Macaca fascicularis: one gene and its partners. The protein of the gene in region 1 binds, or shares a complex with, the protein of each later gene. Links are inferred from orthologs where the notes say so. Each region holds a gene or a part of one and is shown in the gene's direction. Other genes may lie near its edges. The genes, in order: STRIP2, STK24 and STK25.

Region 1 (7,106 bases):
ACCTCCAACCCTCTGCTGGCAGCCTTGAGTTTTGGGACAAGGGAAATTGGTAATGTAGGTTTTTTAATAAAGTCAAATATAAAAATAACAGCATTAGAGTCATCTCCGCAAGGTGGAAAGACTTGACCAGCCTCGACTAGCTCCCAGGTATGGGTGCCTCTGTGGTGAATGGTATTGATGGCTAACATGCCTTTGTTGACAAATAAGCTAAAATAAATTGAATGTGTGCCAATTCCATGGCCTATAGTTTCAAAGTTTTCAGTTACTCTGTGATTTCTTGTTGCATCTTCCAGTCGTTTCCAGATATCTTCCTCCTTATTAGAAATTTTGAATGTCTGGGCCTATAATGAGCACATAGGTGTCTGATCTTAGTAAAGGTCTTCTATTCCACTGAGATGTGGAAAAGATCATGGATTGAGGTCTCGTGTTGACTCTACGCAGTCTTCATAGCACCAGTTTTACACATTCCTTCTCTGAAATTAAAGCCAGATGGAGCTCTAGGCTTAGTAAGTGGCTTTAGATAGCCAAGCCACCAGAGGGGACTTGCAAGCTGTCCTCTATCCTACTCCCAAGATCAGTCTGCCCTTTCCACTAGGAGTAGGCAGGAAAAGGAATAAAGCGTTAAAACTGGCCGCTCCTGTCTGCTACCACGGTTGATATTCTGCTGATTGACTAGGCTCACAAAAGAATATGAAGTTCTGGGCCTGTTAACCTTAGGGCTCTGACTACTTAGGAGGAGAAGAAGTACTGGGAAGAAAAGAGATAGAATAATGAATTCTTTTTATTAAGAAACCCCAATGGGCTGTGCTATGGCAAGTTTACCACACTGAAGCAGTGATGAGCAAGGCGTGGGTTGTGAATTTTAAAGCAGAGTGTAATTTTTTAAGAGTTTAACAAATTATACCCTGAAAAAACTCCAAAGTCAAGTAGTTCAGGCCTTGAGCCAGGGACTTTCTTGGAAATTCATATCAATTCAATTCTGTAAATGCCCCTTCCGCCCCCCCCCCCCACCACCAGGGACATTTTTCAGTATCTGGAGAGATTTTTGATTGTCGCACTAGTGGGAGGATACTACTTACTGGCATCTAGTGAAGAGAGGCCAGGTATTCTGCTAAGCATCCTACAATGCACAGGACAGCCCACTACAATAAGTGTTCAGCCCCAATTGTCAATAGTAGAGAGACTGTGAAACCCTGTGTTAAACGTACATAAATTAGGGGCATACAAAAATGAGCTAAATTTGGTCTTACTCGCAAGTAGCCTATATGTGGATGGGGAGATGAGAGGGACTGGAAGAAGAAAGGGAAGATGGGTGGGTACAGTAAGGAGATATTGAGGACCAGGGTGAGAAAACCCAAAAAGCTCCAAAGAGTGCTCTCAAACTTGCCTTGTTCTGTCACCTATGAACTGGCAAAAGGAAAAGTGAGAGAGAGAAAGATGGTAAGAAAGGGACAGAGTTGTCCCTAAGATATGGGAAGGTGGATTAATTCCTCTAGGCCCCTTGCTTTGGGTATATTGTGGAAAATGTTAGGATTTTGGATCTAGGCAGAACTGGCTTGACACCAACACAGCCTGAATGAGTTGAGGGCCAAAAGGAAAGCTTTGTGGAGGAGGAGGAGGTGATAACTAACTAGAATCTTTAAGGGAAGGGAGAAAAGGAATCAACCAGGAAAAGAGAAGACAGTCTCCTCCAGACAACAGCATAGGCAAGACCCTGAGACGAGATAGAATATGATACCTTGGGAACTGCAGGGAGGAATCTGCAAGTGCCGGTTTCCTCATCAGTAACATTGGATTCGTAAAAATACCCTGTCGGGGAGAGGTATGATGTGATATCTGGAAAGCGCCTACTGCAGTGCCTGGCACCAAGCACAGTTCAACAATCCCCCAGACCCTTCCGAAAGCAACCAGGCTAGGGAGAGCGATTTGGTCCCACCCGTTCCCCTGGGCCTATGTCTTTGGGGATTCTATTACCAAGTCAGACTGTCTAAATATTTACTACAAGCTGCTTTTTTAAATTCAGGAGAGGGCAGATCAAACAGCTTCTTTTGCTCCCAGTAACAATGAGCCCTTAGGAAGCATGTTAGAAAAGAGAGAGGAAGGAAAGAAAGGACTGGCGAGCAGGTGAGGTGAGGGTGGTGGCTTGCTCTCCAGCCAACATTTACACACCATGAGGAAGAGGCCCCCTACAGCAGAGAAGGGCAGATGACAGGAGCAGCCCTCGAGGGCATCACCAATTTCAGTGACGGAAAAACGCCCCCAACACACCCTTAGACCCCCAGTCTCCCAGCCAAGCCCTAGCTCCGGGCGAGATGCGTTCTCTTCAGAAAAACGCTGAGAATTCTCAGCTTCCGGAGACAGCGAGTCCCTCGTTTCGGGCGATGTCCCTGGCCACATGGCGGTGCCATCCCTCCTCTGCGACTAAGCGGGATATGGGACGTGTGCAGAAGCCGGGATGTGGGGGTCCGGGTCGGTGGTAACAGGGAAACGGAGGCTGCAGTGGAGCAGGAGGCGGAGACTAGAGCTCCAGAAAAGGTCGCTACAGGGACGGGGGTGAGTGCTGAGAGACACCGAGTGAGGAGCACAGAGATAAACCTCCTGAGCTCAAGGCCCAGCTTTCGCAAGTCGTGGAGTCTGTAGCTAACCTAGGAGTCTCTGGCTGCCAGCAATGCAGCAGGACTAAAAAGATACCCCCAAAATCTCTTCAATGAGCCCCCACCTCCTCGTGTCCCGCTCCGGCCGGTCGAGCAGCCAATCGCCTCGCGGGGCGGGGTTGCGGCCAGCGGCCGTAACCAATAGCGGCGGAGGGGGCGGGTCCTGGCTCCCGGCGCGCGGCTGTGGGGTCGCCCCGGGCAAAGCGAGCTGAACCCTGAGGGGAGCCGCTGACCAGCAGCATGGAGGACCCCGCCGTGCCCGGGACCGGGGGCCCTCCCGCAAACGGCAATGGCAACGGCGGCGGCAAAGGGAAGCAGGCGGCGCCCAAGGGCCGCGAAGCGTTCCGAAGCCAGCGGCGGGAGTCAGAGGTGAGGAGCCCGGAGAGCTTCGGCTGGGGCCCGGAGACGCTCGCGGGCGGGAAGCGGCGGCTGAGGTGATTCGGCCTCGGCCCCGGAGCCCTCGGCGCGCTCGGTCAGCCCCGCGCAGTGGGCGCCTGCGGGGTCCTAGCGGCTGTACTCTGGGCTTTTTGGCCCCGACCCTTGTCCGCACGTCTCCTGCCGCGGGTTGGGGGCTTTCTAGCCCTCTGGCTTTCCCCCGCTGCGCGAAGATGAGCGCGGTATTGAGCGGACCAGGTACTTTCCAAATATTTATCTCACTTAATCGCTGCAGCCCCTTGAAGCAGAAATTCCGATCCCAGTTTATGGAGGGGGGAACAGGAGCGGAGAGGTGAAGTGACTGGCTTCAGGGATGGAAGGCTGGAGCTCAGCTGCAGGAAAGCAGGATTGGCGAGTGGGGCAACCGCACTCCCCCACCCCAGGCTGCCTGCGGCGGGCCCCTGGACAGATCCACTGTGGCCGAGGGACTTCTGCCCGTTCCCTGCCCATCCCCTTCCCCCACATCCCCCATAAGTCTTAGGCCGTTTAGGGAGCGCCTTCCGCGGACATCAGGCCCCTGCAGTCCAGGAGTGGCTATCTGGAGGGAGCAGTCCCAGGATACAGATAGGAGTATGAATATTTCGATCTCTTCCTCCTCTCCTGAAAAAAGAAACGCTACCTAGGAAGATGAAAGCATTGAATTATTATCACTCCCCTATCCCCTCATTGAGGCAGTTTCCATCAGTTGGATCTGAGCGGAGCCGGAATCAGAATAGATGACAAAATGTCAGATGTGGCAGGGTCTGCAGAAATCATCTGGTATAGCCCTTTAATTTTACAGACCTAAAAGAAAGAGGAGTGACTTGCCCAAGATCAGACATCTGGCATACTTTGTGGTCAAGAACACGAGGCTTTGGAGTAGTCGGACCAGGTTTTGAATCCCAGCCCTATCATTTACTGCCTGTGTGATTTTCGGCACATTACCAAACCTCTCTGAGCTCCAGTTTCTTCATCTGTAAAATGAGATTAACACTGCCTACCTCAGAAGGTTGTGATAAAGTCAAAATGAGATAATTGACTATAAAATGTTTGGCACAGTGCAGGCACAATGCATGTAATTAGTCAGTACATAGTAACTCTGAGTATATTACTATCGTCATCATCATCATCATCATCAAGTGGCAGAGCTGGTACTAGAAGCCAGGTCTTTGGCATTCCAGACCTTGCCTTACCATTTAAATAGCATTTCAGTTTCCAAAGTGATTTCATGTATGCTTTCCATTTTGATGTAGGTAGAGTAGGAGGAATCCATTCATTTTTTAAAAGGTAGAAGTGGAGACGAAAAGACTGGCCCAGAGTCACCACCTTGCAGAGGAAGAGCTCAGCCCTCCTGTCTTGCTAGATGATATCCACCACATCATCTCCCTCCCTACCTCAAGATGAGTCTGATCTTTTAGGGCACCCTGTACCTCCTTCCCCCACAAAGACATTGTTCTCGCTCAAATGTTTTTTTGGGGAGGTGAGCCATTCATTAATTCAATAATTATTTATGGAGGACTTTCTGCCAGTCACTATTTTAGGTGCTAGGGATATATCAGTGAACAAGATAGGGTCTTCCCCCATGGGGAGACAAATTGTGAGTAAATAAATAAAATAATTTCACAATCGTATGTTCTATGGGGGGAATAAAAGTCTCTGCCTGGGTCTCCCTTCTAAGGTTGCAATCTGTTCCCCACCTGTCAAGGCTTCTTCAGGCAAAGGCTCTGAGAGTACAGTCCTTTGAGACTCGAAAGCTTTCCACCTGCACCGCAGTTTACCTGCTGATTGTCTGCAGCTGCACTCTTCATGCCTGGAAATGAACAACTGCTGCAATCATCTCTATCTGGGCTCATTGCCTGCCGAAAGCCTGGCTGGAAAGATTAGCTTTCCTTTACCTTCTGCGGCAGCAGAACTCCTTTTACCTGCCAGTACATCCCTTATCACCACAGTACCCAGGTGCCAGATCTGCTTTTCTTCTCTGCTTCTTTTTGCTTTCCCGTGGAAGGCAGTCCTTAGAGGAGATGGGTTTTTTTTTCCTCTCCAGGGCTTTTAAAAAATCACTAGAAGAGAATTACTGTGGCACAAGTTAAGAGAGCCTCATCATGTATCACTGTTTATGGAAGCACTGTTGACCTACCTTCTCCCACTGGCTTCGTGTGTGAACGAACATCCCAACCTAAAAAGGAAGCTAAAGAATAATTGTTTGCTTAATAAGAAGAGTCTTAACCTAACAAAAGGATTCATCTCAGACCTCTTTTAGCCAGATCTGGTTTATTGATCTCCAACTCCTTGACAAAGTTTTAACTGGTCTGTGGTAAAACGAGGAAAATTCAGGTCATCGAAGTGACTTTTTCTAAAAATTTAGTTCAATATATTAAATTTAAGGATGTATACAATTTAAAACAGTGTTTTCCAAACTGTTTTAGGGGGCAACTATTAATTGAGGCTAAAATTTTTATTTTAAAAAATAAAGCCAGTGTGATGGCTCATGTCTTTTATCCAGCACTTTGGGAGACTGAGGCAGATGGATAGCTTCAGCTCAGGAATTCAAGACCAACCTGGGAAATGCAGGCAGACCCGATCTCTACAAAAAATAAAAAATAAAAAAAATTTAGCCGGGCATGATGGTGCGCGCCTGTTGTCCCAGCTGCTCAGGAGGCTGAGGTGGGACAATCACTTAAGCCCAGGAAGTTGAGGCCACAGCAAGCTGTGATTGTGCCACTGCACTCCAGCTTGGGTGAGAGGAAGACCCTGTCTTTAAAAAAAAAAAAAAAGGAAAGAAAAGGAATAAAATAATATAAAATAGTGCATCATATGCAGTAAAGGTAAATACTTTGTTAAACTTTTGTTCCAGTTTGTGTGTGTGTGTGTGTGTGTGTGTGTGTGTGTGTGTGTGTGTGCGCGCGCGCGCGCGCACGCGCGCGCACTGGGATATAATGTAAAATGTATCATTTTTCCAAAAAGTTTGAAAAAGTTTTTAATGGCTGTTCTTTATTCTGAGATTCTGTCCTTCATTTTGGGGGTTTAAACAGTTCTTTTTTGAATTTTTTAAAAAAGTTTTTAAAGTCCGTGCCTATCAGAATAAAACAGCAACAACCCTCCGTCATTTGCCACTCTCCACCTTTTTCTTTTTCCCTACTGTTCCCTGTAATCCAAAAGTTTGGAAATCTTTGCTATAGTGGATTTAAACATGATTCGCCTTGTTGACAGTATAAATTGACGTAATGTTTTGGGGGAACAACTTATATACAAAGAGCTTTAAAAATGTTCATAAGATTTGATTCATTAATTTTCTTTATAAAAATCTATGCTTAGGAAATATCCTAAATATAGAAAAAAGCATAAGTCTATTACAGTTTCATGCATATAATAAAGGAAAATTAAAAACAATTTAAATATTCAACAGTAACTAGTTAAGTAAACCAATAAATGTACATCCATTTATACAATCATTTAAACTAATAGTCATAATAATATGAGAAGAATGCCTTTATAATATAATATTAAAATCATAAATAGAGTGACCACCCACATAGTGCTACCAAGTGCTAGGCTGTGTGCCTTTTTGTATTAACTCATTGAGTCCTTAAAATAACCCTATGAAGTAAGTCCTGTTATTATCTTCATTTTACAGATGGGAAAACTGAGCAGGTAATTTTCCAACAATTCCCTGACACCAACTAGATGTCCAGCAATTCAATTCAATTCTGACACTAACTACCTAGAATTATCACAGACCCTGCAAGTTAAGGGCTCAGTCCTACAAGGCCCTATTTTAGACGCCAACCATAGGTGGGATCCCCAAGCTATCTACACTTCAGCCTGGCCAACTACAAATTAAGCGGTTATCATGATCTTCCATTCAGGTTCCATAATTTGCTAGAATAACTCACAGAATTCAGGAAAGCATGTAATTAGAATTATAATTTTATTATAAAGGATACAACTCAGGAACAGCTAAATGGAAGAGATGCAAAGGACAAAGTATGGGTTTGGGGTGGTGCAGAGCTTCCATATACACCCTGGGCAGCACTCCTC
Region 2 (7,006 bases), on another chromosome or scaffold:
TGTGTGTGTGTGTGTGTGTGTGTGTGTGTGTGTGTGTGTGTGTGTGTGTGTGTGTGTTGGTGTTAGCACGTGTGTGTGTGTGTGTGTGTTGGTGTTAGCACGTGTGTGTGTGTGTGTTGGTGTTAGCACGTGTGTGTGTGTGTGTGTTGGTGTTAGCACGTGTGTGTGTGTGTTGGTGTTAGCACGTGTGTGTGTGTGTGTTGGTGTTAGCACATGTGTGTGTGTGTGTGTGTGTGTGTTGGTGTTAGCACCATATGTCCTTGTTTTGTTTCGGAGTTTTCCAGCAGAGTTAGCTGAAGGCCAAACTGAGCCCCCCTTTTCTTAACTCTTGTGTAAAAACGGATCACGAGGTCAGGAGATCAAGACCATCCTGGCTAATATGGTGAAACCCCGTCTCTACTAAAAATACAAAAAACTAGCCGGGCGAGGTGGCGGGCGCCTGTAGTCCCAGCTACTCGGGAGGCTGAGGCAGGAGAATGGCGTAAACCCGGGAGGCGGAGCTTGCAGTGAGCTGAGATCCGGCCACTGCACTCCAGCCTGGGCGACAAAGCGAGACTCCGTCTCAAAAAAAAAAAAAAAAAAAAAAAAAAAAAATGAGTGGTTACTTTTACAAGAGCACCATGGTTGCCTAATATGCCAATTTTGGTAAAAGAATTACATGAGGAATGCAACATTTTCTAAGCACCTCTGGGGAGATGCAGGCTGAGACCACCACACCAGCATTTGATGACTACATCAGCATCTTGTGGTAGTGGGGCTTGTCCTGCACGCCACGATGCTCTGCATTTTATTACAAGATGATGTTTGTTGCAGCCACCATGCACCAGCACTGGTGGAGATACGTGCAGGCATGTCTTCCTTTACAAATCATGTGTCTAGTATGGGCTTATGCTCCAGCACACAGAGCTCCACCCCACAGCTACCGAGGAGCTGGCTGAGAGGCGAGACTACGAGCACCTCCGGGGTAGCTGGGGTTTCACCCTTGGGTGGACGGGGAGGGAGAATACTCAAGGGTGATCCAGGTTTCTCATGAGTTTGAATCTGAAAACGTGCTTGGCTTTTGTAGTCAAGCTTTTGTAATTTGGAGTGAGTGGGAACTCGGTTCGACTCGGTATTTGGGTGTTCCTGGTGTCTATTCCAATTTGGGCTGTGCTGGTTTCCTTGGGAAGCACATTCCCTGTCACTGTCGCCATCCTCAAGGCAGGCAGCTGACCAGGTGCTGAGCCCAGGGCATGGGTGAAGTCTTCAGCCCAATCACAAGGGAAGGGAGGGACCTGGGAAACAGCCCTTCTCAACTGGGAAAGTTGGTGATGCAGAGCGCCCAGCTGCTCTTTCAGCAGACAGGAGAAAGGGCATCTCCTGGCTCCTTTCCGGTTTCTTTGAGAGAATTCCAAATTGACATTTCTATTATATGGTTGGATGTGGCCAAACGTTAAAAAACTGGGTATAGTGGCTCAGGCCTGTAATCCTAGCTACCCAGGAGACTGAGGTAGGAGAATCGCTTGAACTGGGGAGGTGAGGTTGTAGTGAGCTGAGATCGCGCCACTGCACTCCAGCCTGGGCAACGAGCAAAACTCCATCTCAAAAAAAGTTAAAGCGACATAGAACATACATTCTGTCAGCTATTTGCCATAAAGTATTTCATAAGCTAGGAGATAAGGTCTCTTAAATGATCCCTGTGAAGCTCTGTGCAGAGGTTTCTGTGGAAATGCATTTATTAGGGACCTCCTTAGAAAGTCACTGCCCTGCCCACCATGGTACCTGGAGCCCAGGCGTAGGTCCTGAGCGCCTCGTCTTTGGGTGAGTCACAGTGAGAAGAGGTGCGGAGTAGAATCGCAGCCATCAGGTGTCAGTGTGGCGGGTTGACATTTTGAGGCAGAAGTCTGTCCTTTGGGGTGGGATCAAGAGCTTCATCTCATATTTTGTTGTTGTGTGTGTTTTTCCAGAGACCCACTGCTAAGGAGTTACTGAAGCACAAGTTTATACTACGCAATGCAAAGAAAACTTCCTACCTGACCGAGCTCATTGACAGGTACAAGAGATGGAAGGCCGAGCAGAGCCACGACGACTCGAGCTCCGAGGATTCAGACGCGTAAGTTGGCCCCTGAGCGACCCGAGCGTGTGTGTGGGAGGGACCCACTGGTCTTTGTCACTTGTTTGGTGTGGGTTTCGTTTTCTGTTGAGTTTTTTTTAGACAATCCAGGCTGGTGGCGGTTGCTGTGTTAGCCACATCCTGGGCCTGTTGGGGAGCTGAGCCTCTGGATGTTGCTGGTGGAAGTTCTACGAGTGAACTCTGTGGCAGAGCTGTGCGTAGGGAACTGGGCCTGGCTGTTTGATTCTGTTTTGTTTCGTTCGGTTCTGCTCTGTTTTGTTTTCCATTACACTTTCTGTTCTTAAAATCATGATCAGGTGAAACTGCTTTTCATGGATGTCTGAAAGGCCAGAAATGCACGTGTTTGTGATTCTCTGTTGTGTCTGGTAGAAGCTTCTGTACCAGCGGTGACTTTCTGAGAACTGCTGTCAAGTTCGGCATCTAGGAATTCCCTTGGCTGAAGAGGCGAAGCGGGGCTGGAGCCATTTGTGTGGCGAGGGCTGGGGAAGGCGGTCGGGTAGGCTTGTGTCTGGAAGTCCAAGCCTGGGCTCGTCTGTTCTCGTGCATGCCTTGGCAGGAGTCAAACTTGGCCCACAGTGCAGGTCCATGCGCCAGGCCAGATGAATGAGGATTTCCGGGGGTGACACCCTAAGTGGGTTTTCAGTGTCTCTAGGTGATGGCAGTTTAAAGCCAAGTTTGAGACCACTGCCCTCGGAAGTTCTTGAGGTACTGCCATTGGGAGATTGCCGGGGTAGCAACAGGGATGACAAGATAGGGACTGGAGAGAGGTTTGAGAGCCAGGACGTGGCGGTGGATTTGGGTGAAGGAGGGAAGCCCACGTTCCAGGCTTGGGCAGCGTGGCCACAGGCGTTGTGATGTGTGGTGCAGGAAGCCGAGTGTGGGGTGGACCATGTATGAGTCTGAGTTGTCCAGGAGGAGACGTCCTGTGTGAAGTGGCACCGAGGTGTGGCATTCAGGTGAGAAAGCTGGGCAGGTTAAGTGGGCTTAGGGGCCACTGCTCTGTGGAGGTCACTGGAGCCAAGAGAACAAAGGGTGTCAGTCGGGGCGTGTGGGGGAGTGAGGCCGGCCCCTAGGGAAGCCGGCATGAGGGTGAGGCTCCGCCTGTGAATGAGAGGGGAGAGGTGTGGCCGAGGGGCGGGAGGAGGTGCAGGCTCAGTGGGGCCACAGGCGTCAGGATGATGAGCAGGGCCAAGGGCTCATTGCCTCTGAGGCCCACGCAGGACAGGGAGTCAGCACACATCTCATGATGGGGGAGGGAGTGCTCGGAGGGACACCGGCGGGCTTTGGAGCGAGTGGAGGGTACCAAATAGAGGCAGTGAGTGTGGATCCTGGAACCGGGGCTGAGAGACGGCCGAGGTGAGGCCGAAGTGTTGGAATGACAGGCATGAGCCACCACACCCAACACACAGACATCTGCTTTCCTGGTGAGAGGAGGAGCCCAGCAGAGAGAAGCTGATGGCCCAGAGATGGGCTCCCAGGGAGGCGGGGGAGGTGTCCTCCAGGAGGAGGAGGAGAGTGGGCACGCACACGCTGGCACACCAGGGAGGTGCGGGAATCACCTCGCGATGGTCTCGTCTCTGTGAGGGAGGAGGCGGGGCATCTCTGGAAAATCCCCAAGGGACTGGACATGGGTGTTATGGTGGGGACTTGGCGCTGGTGGGCGTGGGTTCGGAGGTCCCCAGGCGGCCTCCCCCAAACGTCCCAGCGCCCCCAGAGCAGACGTGCGAGCGCTGATGGGATCTCCCTGCGTGTCTGTGTTAAGGGAAACAGATGGCCAGGCCTCAGGGGGCAGCGATTCTGGGGACTGGATCTTCACAATCCGGGAAAAAGATCCCAAGAATCTGGAGAATGGAGCTCTTCAGCCATCGGACTTGGACAGAAATAAGGTACGTCTGCTCCCTCCAGAATGGCCACACTGACCTCAGTCTGCGGTGTTTTGGAGGCACGTGTGTGTGAAGCTTGCTGTGGGTGCGGGTGGCAGCTCTCATAGAATTTTGTTGCTAGGGGATGGACGGATTGAGAGCTTTAGTTCTGTCTGGTGATCCAGGTGTTCACACCGGGGAGTCTGGCCTCTGGTCTGTTCTGTGCCACTCCATTCTGCTCTCTGCAGCCCTGCAGTCAAGTTAGGATGTCCTGACATGTGGCAATGTCATGGGGTTTGGGGGTGACCCGTGAAATGACTTCATAGCTCTCTTTGGGGGACTGTTGTGCATGTTGGGGTTACTTACATACATATCATAATTTTGTGATTGAGTTTTAAGGACCTTATAAATAAATGCATTGCTTTTGATATTTATGTAAAACAATTTTGATTAATTGGTTTTATGCCTGTTAAATTTATGAAAGGCCATATATTTAGGGTCTTGTGTAAAACATAGTGGTGTAGTTTCTCTCAGGCAGGGTGGGCCAGTAGCTGTGCCCTGTTGATCCTACAAGTCCTGCTTTGATAAGTGAACAGGTAATGTCCAATTAGAGGCTGCAAAAGTAGAAACTCGGCCTCTGTCATAGACAGCACTTGGAATGGCCAATCTTGACCTGATTTCTATTTTCAGGGTTTCATTAGTAAAGTGCTTTTCTCTCTCTCTCTCTTTCTTTTTTTTTTTTTTGAAACGGGGTCTCTGTCACCCAGGCTAGAATGCAGTGGTGCCATCAGAGCCCACTGCAGCCTCAAACTCCTGGGCTCAAGCGATCCTCCCACCTCAACCTCCTGAGTAACTGGGATTGCAGGCATGTGACACCATGCCCAGTTTATGTAAAACTTTTTATTTTTATTTTTGTCTTTTTTTTTTTTTAGAAACAGGGTCTCACTATGTTGCCCAGGCTGGTCTCAAACTCTTGGGCTCAAGTGATCCTCCTGCCTCGGCTTCCCAAAGTGTTGGAATGACAGGTGTGAGCCATCACGTCCAACCAGTAAAGCACTTCTGCGTAGATAGCGAGACGAGGCAGTTCACCACCTGCGCCCACGCAAAGTCCCCTTCCACATGGAACCCAGATGCCGGTGTCCCTGGCGTGTGGGTTTTGCATGTCACTGCAGATGAGACTTTGAAGTCTAGCGAGAGGCAGCCGATAGTCTTCAGCTGTCATGGCGCGCAGAGGGCGTTTCCTCGGCGTGAAGTGTAGGAGTGAGAGGTTCGTTGCATTATTGCCGATGTGAACGTCAACTGTTTCTGATGACCTTTTTTTCCTCTCCCCCAAGATGAAAGACATCCCAAAGAGGCCTTTCTCTCAGTGTTTATCTACAATTATTTCTCCTCTCTTTGCAGAGGTAGGTACCTGGCTGACCTTTTCGGAGTGGGAGGGAAGAGGGAGGGAGAAGCTGGACACACTTCAGTGGTGATGTTGCCAGTAAGAGTTGGGGACATTAAGACAAACTGGCAAAGGCTCAGAAAGCCTGCATGGTGCCTCCCCAAAGGCTGTCAGCGTCAGGCACCACCTTGCACCTCCCACTGTCCTGGACGGTGGCCACTCCGCCACAGCCTGGAGTGTGCAGACTGGATGACAGTGACCCAGCCTGAGACCCTGTGTCACCCGTTGCACTGCTTTTTAGCAAATCTCATTGGGTGCAGCCTGCTTCCTTTGCCTCAGACCTATTTCTGGCCATATGAAAAGTAGAGTCTTTGTTCTAAGGAAGACGTTGGATGCCCTGGAGTCCTCCGGTCTCCCCTGAGCCACATGTTTCACCAAAGTCCCTCCTCCGCTCAGCAGTGCTGCGCTCCCGGCTGGGCCTCCCCGTGCCGTGCCCACCCTCTGCTCAGCCTCTCCCTCCCAGAGGAAAGTGCTCCCGGCCGTGGTTTGAGAGATTTTCAAAAGTAGGCTTTATAAGAATGAAGGTTGTTCTGCCTCTGGTTAGTAGCGGATTTGAAAATATGTTGGAAGTCCCCCCTTTTCTTGTTGTGCCCCTTCCTGGCTGAGGTTGCCTTTGAGGTATTCACTGTGGGCCACACACACATCTGTTTGCATGGGGATCGCCCTCTTTGGGCAGCTTTCCACTGCGGCTGTGTTTGGGGGCCCTGGTCCTTGAAGGGGGAGGCCTTCGGAGGAGGAAGCATCGTAGGAGCTCATTCCCCTCTCCTGTGCATGCGTCATGCAGTGGGGAATCCCTGGCCGTGGGCTGTGCCCAGCCTGCCAGTGCCTCTTCCCAGCCCTCCAGTGAGCCTGCACCTGTTGCCCTGCCCTGGAGGGTTTGTCTGAGGGCCTCTGACCTGGCAAGTTTCAGGGCCCAGTGCGAGCAGGGCTGTGGCCGGGGCCCGAGGCCTCACCTGCAGCTTCAAGTGGAAAACAGCCGAGCCCGCTGATGTCGGGGAAGGCACAGGGCACGCGGAGGCCCTGCTGGATGTCTGGCTTCAGCCCTGGCTCATGGTTCTGGGCACCTGTGTTCTTCCTACCTAGGATGTCCAGGTTGAGTGCCAGCTTGCTCTTCATTTTGTCCCATGGGAGTGGGCCCCGTGGGATTTCCAGGCTGCGCTCCTGCGGCTCTGCCGTTGGCCTCTGGAATCGGGTCAGTCAGGCAGTTAGGGAAAGTGCATGGAGTTTTTCCATTTACCTGAGGCTGTTTATTTTTTTACTGGGCTCATGAAGGAACTTTGACATAAGTATTCAGGACATATCCTAAATGCGATCGTATCCTGGATTTTCCAGCTAACCAAATGCTAAACTCGCATCTTTCCTAATGTATTTTTATGAATGATATTTGCTACCCTAGAGTTCAGAGTGTTTAATGTGCATTATTTCATACAATACTTGCAGAAGCTCAATAGAAGGATTATAGCCCCATGTTTACAGATGAGGCCATTGAGGAGACGGGCGTTGGCGTCCCTGCTTTCCTTCAGGGAGCACAGGTCAGGTTGCTCCGTGAAGTCAGTGGTGGGTCCAGTACGTTCCACACAGTGAGGG
Region 3 (6,369 bases), on another chromosome or scaffold:
GGAGGCCAGGTGGATGATACCCTGGCCCTTCTCAGGGGGCCCTGGGTGGAGCCACGTGGAGCCTGGCATGACGTCTGCCTGTCCTGTGTCAAGCAGCTGCCAACGTGCTACTCTCGGAGCAGGGGGATGTGAAGCTGGCGGACTTTGGGGTAGCAGGGCAGCTCACAGACACACAGATTAAGAGGAACACGTTCGTGGGCACCCCCTTCTGGATGGCGCCTGAAGTCATCAAGCAGTCGGCCTATGACTTCAAGGTGGGTGCAGTGGGTGGGCGGGCGGGTGCGGGCACCACGCCTGACTGGGGTGCTCAGGGCAGCGACAGTCCTTGTGTTCTGTCCAGGCCGACATCTGGTCCCTGGGGATCACGGCCATCGAGCTGGCCAAGGGGGAGCCTCCAAACTCTGACCTCCACCCCATGCGCGTCCTGTTCCTGATTCCCAAGAACAGCCCTCCCACACTGGAGGGCCAGCACAGCAAGCCGTTCAAGGAGTTCGTGGAGGCCTGCCTCAACAAGGACCCCCGATTCGTAAGGCCCGCCTCTGGCCTGGCCCCTTCTGGACGGGCATATGGAGGGAGGGCATTTGCTTGGGGTGGGCAGCACAGCCCGGAGGCCTAGGCCCCCCAGCCTTGTAGCCATGAGGACCTGCCCCAGTCCAGGCTGCCTCACATTTGCTTTCCTGAGGCAGAGCTTGGCTGGGCCCAGTGACCGATGTTCCCCTGACCCCGCACAGCGGCCCACAGCCAAGGAGCTCCTGAAGCACAAGTTCATCACACGCTACACCAAGAAGACCTCCTTCCTCACGGAGCTCATCGACCGCTATAAGCGCTGGAAGTCCGAGGGGCATGGCGAGGAGTCCAGCTCCGAGGACTCTGACATGTAGGGGCCTGGTTTATCCTCATGGTGACCCTCGGTGTTGTGACGTGGGTGGTCCCCACTCCAGAAGCAGGGGCGTGGGCTCTAGGGGTGAGAGTGACCAGATATAGTATTGGGCAGGGACCCCCTTAAGGCTGCAGGACAGGGCCTGCTGAGGCATCAGTTGGACTCCGTGGCCTGGCAGAGCGCCGCCCAGTACCTCGGGTTTCCCTTGGCCGTGAGGTGTGCCCTGAGGCCCTTGTGCCTCCTGGTCCTCCCCCCACTGACCCTGGCAACTCTTCATCCTCTTCAGTGATGGCGAGGCGGAGGACGGGGAGCAGGGCCCCATCTGGACGTTCCCCCCCACCATCCGGCCGAGTCCACACAGCAAGCTTCACAAGGGGACGGCCCTGCACAGCTCACAGAAGGTCTGTTCCCGGCCTGGCCTCTGCCTGCTGTGCACCCCTGGGGCTGGGTGCGGGACCCAGCTTTGTCCACCCAGTGTCTGGGGCTTGGACAAGGAGCTTGGGAAAGGCAGGGGTGGTCTGAAGCCCACTGTGGCACTGGGCCTGGTGTGGAGACCCCAAGCCCCAGCATGTGCTGGGAAGATGAGGGCCTGTTAGGAGCCAAATTTGTGAGGAGAGGGTGGGTGGGAGTTGCAAGTCCTGAGTCAGGCCATCTGGGTGGCTTGATGGTTTTGGGGCCAGCCCTGGGCATGTGCCGTGACAGGCTGCTCCCAGTCTCCATCCCTTCAAGGCTAGAGCCTGAAGGGATGGGAGTGCCCTGCCTGTCGCCTGCACTGCCCTGCTCACCCTGGGCCTCCACTTCCTTTGCAGCCCGCAGAGCCTGTCAAGAGGCAGCCAAGGTCCCAGTGCCTGTCCACGCTGGTCCGGCCTGTCTTCGGAGAGGTGAGAAGGGGGCTGGGGCTGGGGCTGGGGCTGGAGCCCCGCCAGGGACAAGGCTGGGACGCTGCTCCGCGGGGATGTCCCCTCACAGTGCCGTGGGGCAGTCTCAGCTTCTAGGTTTCCTGCAGCTGATTATGGGCTGGGTTTCCTGAGTAGAAGGAGCAGAATCTGCTGTGATGACCTTTTGTGCTCCCAGACCTGCCAAGGTCCTCTGGGTTCCCAGAGCGACTTTTGTTTTCTTCAAGTGCAAACACAGATGACCCTTCTATAGAGAAAGCAGAGAAGATGTAGTCGGGGTCCATCCAGGGCAGGTGCCTCCCTGGTTAGTCACATGACCTTGCATCAGCGTCACCTGCTAATGGGCAGTCGGCACCATTCTCAGAGATGTGATGCAGCCAGGAGCTCTGTGCCCAGGGCGTGGCCAGTGGGCTTGGGCCCAGGTGTGCTCTCCAGGAGCCCCTCCTGGAGCCTGGGGAGGATGTGGGTGAGAGGTGGTGACAGGAGAGCCTGCCTGAGGATGGCAGAGGGTGGAGCAGTCGAGGGACACTGGCCCCAGCCCATGTGGAGGCCCCAGTGAAGCAGCCACTCAGGCCCAGGTCCCGGGCAGCCTGCTGACCTAGCCACAGCCCCCGAGGGTGGGTGACACCCGGTGACAGAGGCTCGGAGCTGGTGTCTTGATGGAGGTCAGATCTGGGCCTGGTTGTGCTTTGGGAGTTTCTGGGCTTTGTGTTTTTGGGTCTGATCGGACCCATTCAGTGGCTTCCATGATCCTCAGCTGGGAGGAAGCCATCTGGTCCCCTCCTGAGAACCGAGGCCCGAGATTCCCTGGAGTGTAGAGGGAGGGTAGGGGCTGTGGGGAAGGACCACTAGAGTCCCCATTGGCAGGGCAGGCTTCCTTGGGCCACCTCACTTCCTGGCTTGCTGAAGGGCTCCCGGGTCCTAGACGAAGGCCTTGAAGGCCTCCAGCATGACTCTGGCCGAGCAAAGGAGCGGGCTCTCCGAGGGCCTGTCCTGGGGTCCAGGGTCAGGCGAGGTGGTCTCTCCATAGCTCAAAGAGAAGCACAAGCAGAGCGGCGGGAGCGTGGGTGCTCTGGAGGAGCTGGAGAACGCCTTCAGCCTGGCCGAGGAGTCCTGCCCCGGCATCTCAGACAAGCTGATGGTGCATCTGGTGGAGCGAGTGCAGAGGTGAGGGTGGCCGGGCCATAGGGTTGGGGAGAGCACCCCCGCCAAGCAGCAGCTGGACGTGGGGTGAGGTCCAGTGCTCACTCGTGGGTGTGGCTGCGCTTGGAACTACATGGGTTCGCTTCACTCCGGGAAGGGGCGGCATGGCATCCTCTTCCTTGTTCGGACCCAGCTCACAGCTCACAGGGCCATGGAGATTTTGGGGCTGGAGAGAGTGGGCAGGGCCTTTCCAGTCTAAGTGTCTGAGGAGCGTCTCAGGGTCCTGGCCTCAGTGGCCACACGACTGTCCTCAGCTGACCTCTGCCACCTAGTGGCTCCCAGGAGCTGCTCTAACACGCTGGCGGCAAAACGTCAGAGCTGCCCCTGTGCTGACCTGAGTCCTTCGCAAACAGGGCAGGACAGATACTGGGCCCTCCACCGCCCAGTGGATTTAGGGTCCAACCGCCATGCCGCCGGCAGATGCCCTAAGTCCTGGTCCACACCCAGGGACCCCTTCCTGGCACCCCTGGGCAGCAGCTCTGGAGGTGGGGTCTGGGCCAATCAGTGCTGCTCCTGAGACCCTGTGCATTGGGGACACTTCAGACCCACGTGGTGCGGTGGCTTGTCAGGGCTGCCACCGCAGACTGCACACCCAAGAGGCCGTCAGGAGCCTGGGCACAGAGGTGCATGCACACAGAGGTGGGCTCTTCTCTCTGCAGGTTTTCACACAACAGAAACCACCTGACATCCACCCGCTGAAACGCGCTGCTGTTCAGATAGGGGACAGAAGGTCCTTTGTTTTTGTTCTGAGCTCCATAAGAACTGTGCTGACTTGGAAGGTGCCCCGTGCTGTTTCGTGCCTGCAGGGACACGTCAGATCCTGTGGGCCTCACATGCCAGGTCACCGTCTCCTTCCACCCCTGCAGTGTGCTGTTGTGCACGTCAGGGGATGCCGTTCCACATGTCCACTGCCCTCCTTCCTCTCCTGGCCCAGCAATAGAGCTCACGGGGGCTCCAGCAGCCAGCATGGTCCTCATGAGCTATGCCTGGGTCTTCTGCAGACTCACGCAGCCCTATGGCCGCTCAGACCAAGGCGCAGAGCAACTATCAGGGCAGCTCTGCCTCCTCCTCCCATGAGATGGGGAGAGGCAACAGGACAGCCCCCAGAGGAGTGCCCTGGCCGCTGTCCTCCCAGGGCCCATGATGGCCATAGATTTGCCTTGTGGTGTTGGATCAGGTACTGTGTCTGCTCATAAGTACTTGTGTCATCCAGAATGTTTTGTTTTTTAAGAAAATTGAATTTACTTGTTTCCTTAAATATTCTGAGGTTAATATGTTAGTTTTCATAGAACATTGAGAGGCCCCTGCCACTTTCAATAAAGACCTGACTTGGAGACATACAGGTGTGTGGGGGGGCGGGCCCGGACCATGCAGGGCTGCAGCATCTCTGGTCCTGAGTCCTCATCACGGCACGCAGAGACTGCAGCCCAGCCACCCTTCAAAACTTCCCTGTGACTGATTCCTGGGCTCTGCTTGGCCCCCTGGAAGGCGAACAGAGCAGGCAGAGGAGTATGCAGGTGGGGAGATGCTGTTTATTTTTAATCAAATGTGTGTGAACAAAGCAGTCACTCGTCTACTTCCCGTTGGAAGGAATGCTGGGCACTAATAAATTAGAGGACCCCACCCTCCCAGGGCACAGGGGGACTTTGGTTTCTGCTTCTCCAGAGGTACACGGGGAACAAGCATGGCTTCTGCTAGACTTGCTGAGCTGTGACCTGCAGGGCGGGCCCCTGGGGCTGCCACTTGGTTCACCAGATGGAAGGTCAGCATGGCTGTGCCACACTTGTCTGAGAGGGTCCTGGCAGTGGGTATGCAGGGTGTATGGCAGGGCCTCTTTTCCAGTGCTTGCTCTAGGCCAGTCCTCAGCAGGGACCCTGCTCTGGGGAGAGAGGCAGGGTGTGCCCAGGCTTTGGTCCGATGCCCAGAGCACTGCTCAAGCCCTGTGTCTATGAGCCAGGGGCCTGGGGGCCAAGGCGTGAGCAGCTCCGCGCTCGAGACCTGCACATTTTTCTCAGGGCCCCAGATAGCGGGCGGCATAGCACTGGGCCTTGGGTGGGGGGATGAAGCCCCTCCCAGATGTTACATGAGGCCCACCCACACTGTTGGTGCCAGTGGGGATCCACTGAGACTACAGCCACTTCCCATCTGATGAGAAGCCTCAGGACAGAGGCCACCTCTGTCCTGCTGTTCTTTGTAGTTGTGTCCAGACCTGGGCAGGTTGAGCGTCATTCCTCCTTTCCCCTGACCATCCCCTCCAGCCCTGAGGAGGGTTGGGGACCATCCTGCACGATGCTCGGGGCCCTCCCAGCCGAGCTGCTGGCTCCCTGGATCACCTCCATCCACCTGGAGGAGAGGGCGGCTGTCAGACCAGTAAAGCCAGCTTGTGCTCACACACCGTCCCAAGAACAACCCAGGTTATGGGACAAGCAGGACAAAAGAAGGGTTAAAAACCTGGGGACGGGTGCAGTGGCTCACACCTGTAATCCCAGCACTTTGGGAGGCAGATGGATCACTTGAGGTCAGGAGTTCGAGACCAGCCTGGCCAACATGGTGAAACCCTGTCTCTACTAAAAATACAAAAATTAGCCAGGCGGCATGGCACATGCCTGTAATCTCAGTTACTCAGGAGGCTGAGGCAGAAGAATCGCTTGACCCTGGAGGTGCAGGTTATAGTGAGCCAAGATTGTACCACGGCACTCCAGCCTGAGTGACAGAGGGAGACTCCATCTCAAAAAAAAAAAAAAGCATTGCTGTTTGTTTGGAAATGCTGGAAGCATTGCTCAGCCCTTCCTTTCCAGGGCCCAGAAAACTTGCCTCCAACACCATGAGTAGAAATGGGAGCTGAGGAGATACCAATGTTCCTTGGGGTCCCACTCAGACCTGGGCAGCTGACCAAGGCTGCCTCCTACAAAATTACCTTTCAAATGTGTACTTGCTCTCAGCCCGGAAGAAGTAGACATGGGATTTGAACTGGAGCTTGAAAACGTAGTCTTTGTGTATGCCATCGGCCTCCTGGGGGGTGCTCACGCTGTAGCCCAGCAGCGGGAGGCTGGCCAGTGGGTAGTCATCCTGGAAGACAGCACAGGGACACGGGTTCCAGGGGCTGGGTTGCAGCAGGGAGCGCCCATTCCTCTGCTACCTGCACGACGGTGGCACATACAAATGCTCACGGGCCAAGGGAGCACAGGGTGTGTGGGCAAAGCATGGGAGGGCAGAACCAAAATACAAAAGGGACACAGGTGGGAAGGGTGAGTGTCTGCCAGCATCACTTGCATCGGGCTCCAGTGAAACCCCAGTACCTGATGAGTTTTGTAGAAGAACAAACAGAAATTGGTAAAGACGACCCAGAGCTTCTGCCAGCCATGACTGTTTTTGAACTTTCTTAGCAGA

What was found.
Region 2: STRIP2 (region 1) and STK24 share a complex: the UniProt entries of both Homo sapiens proteins name them as parts of the core of STRIPAK complex. The link is inferred for Macaca fascicularis from reciprocal best matches to the Homo sapiens genes STRIP2 and STK24.
Region 3: STRIP2 (region 1) and STK25 share a complex: the UniProt entries of both Homo sapiens proteins name them as parts of the core of STRIPAK complex. The link is inferred for Macaca fascicularis from reciprocal best matches to the Homo sapiens genes STRIP2 and STK25.

The regions. Positions count from the first base shown.
Region 1 is NC_088377.1:170,900,634-170,907,739, forward strand, and holds the start of STRIP2 (striatin-interacting protein 2), read left to right. Parts: upstream 1-2,859; 5' UTR 2,860-2,894; coding exon 2,895-3,023; intron 3,024-7,106. UniProt on the Homo sapiens protein: Plays a role in the regulation of cell morphology and cytoskeletal organization. Required in the control of cell shape. Calmodulin-binding scaffolding protein which is the center of the striatin-interacting phosphatase and kinase (STRIPAK) complexes.
Region 2 is NC_088391.1:89,352,391-89,359,396, reverse strand, and holds part of STK24 (serine/threonine-protein kinase 24), read left to right. Parts: intron 1-1,946; coding exon 1,947-2,092; intron 2,093-3,875; coding exon 3,876-3,999; intron 4,000-5,309; coding exon 5,310-5,378; intron 5,379-7,006. UniProt on the Homo sapiens protein: Serine/threonine-protein kinase that acts on both serine and threonine residues and promotes apoptosis in response to stress stimuli and caspase activation.
Region 3 is NC_088386.1:137,444,197-137,450,565, reverse strand, and holds the end of STK25 (serine/threonine-protein kinase 25), read left to right. Parts: intron 1-96; coding exon 97-254; intron 255-340; coding exon 341-526; intron 527-686; coding exon 687-877; intron 878-1,166; coding exon 1,167-1,281; intron 1,282-1,689; coding exon 1,690-1,761; intron 1,762-2,806; coding exon 2,807-2,943; intron 2,944-3,638; coding exon 3,639-3,678; 3' UTR 3,679-4,317; downstream 4,318-6,369. Other genes in the region: FARP2 (FERM, ARHGEF and pleckstrin domain-containing protein 2), read right to left, coding at 5,205-5,322, 5,897-6,048, 6,279-6,369. UniProt on the Homo sapiens protein: Oxidant stress-activated serine/threonine kinase that may play a role in the response to environmental stress.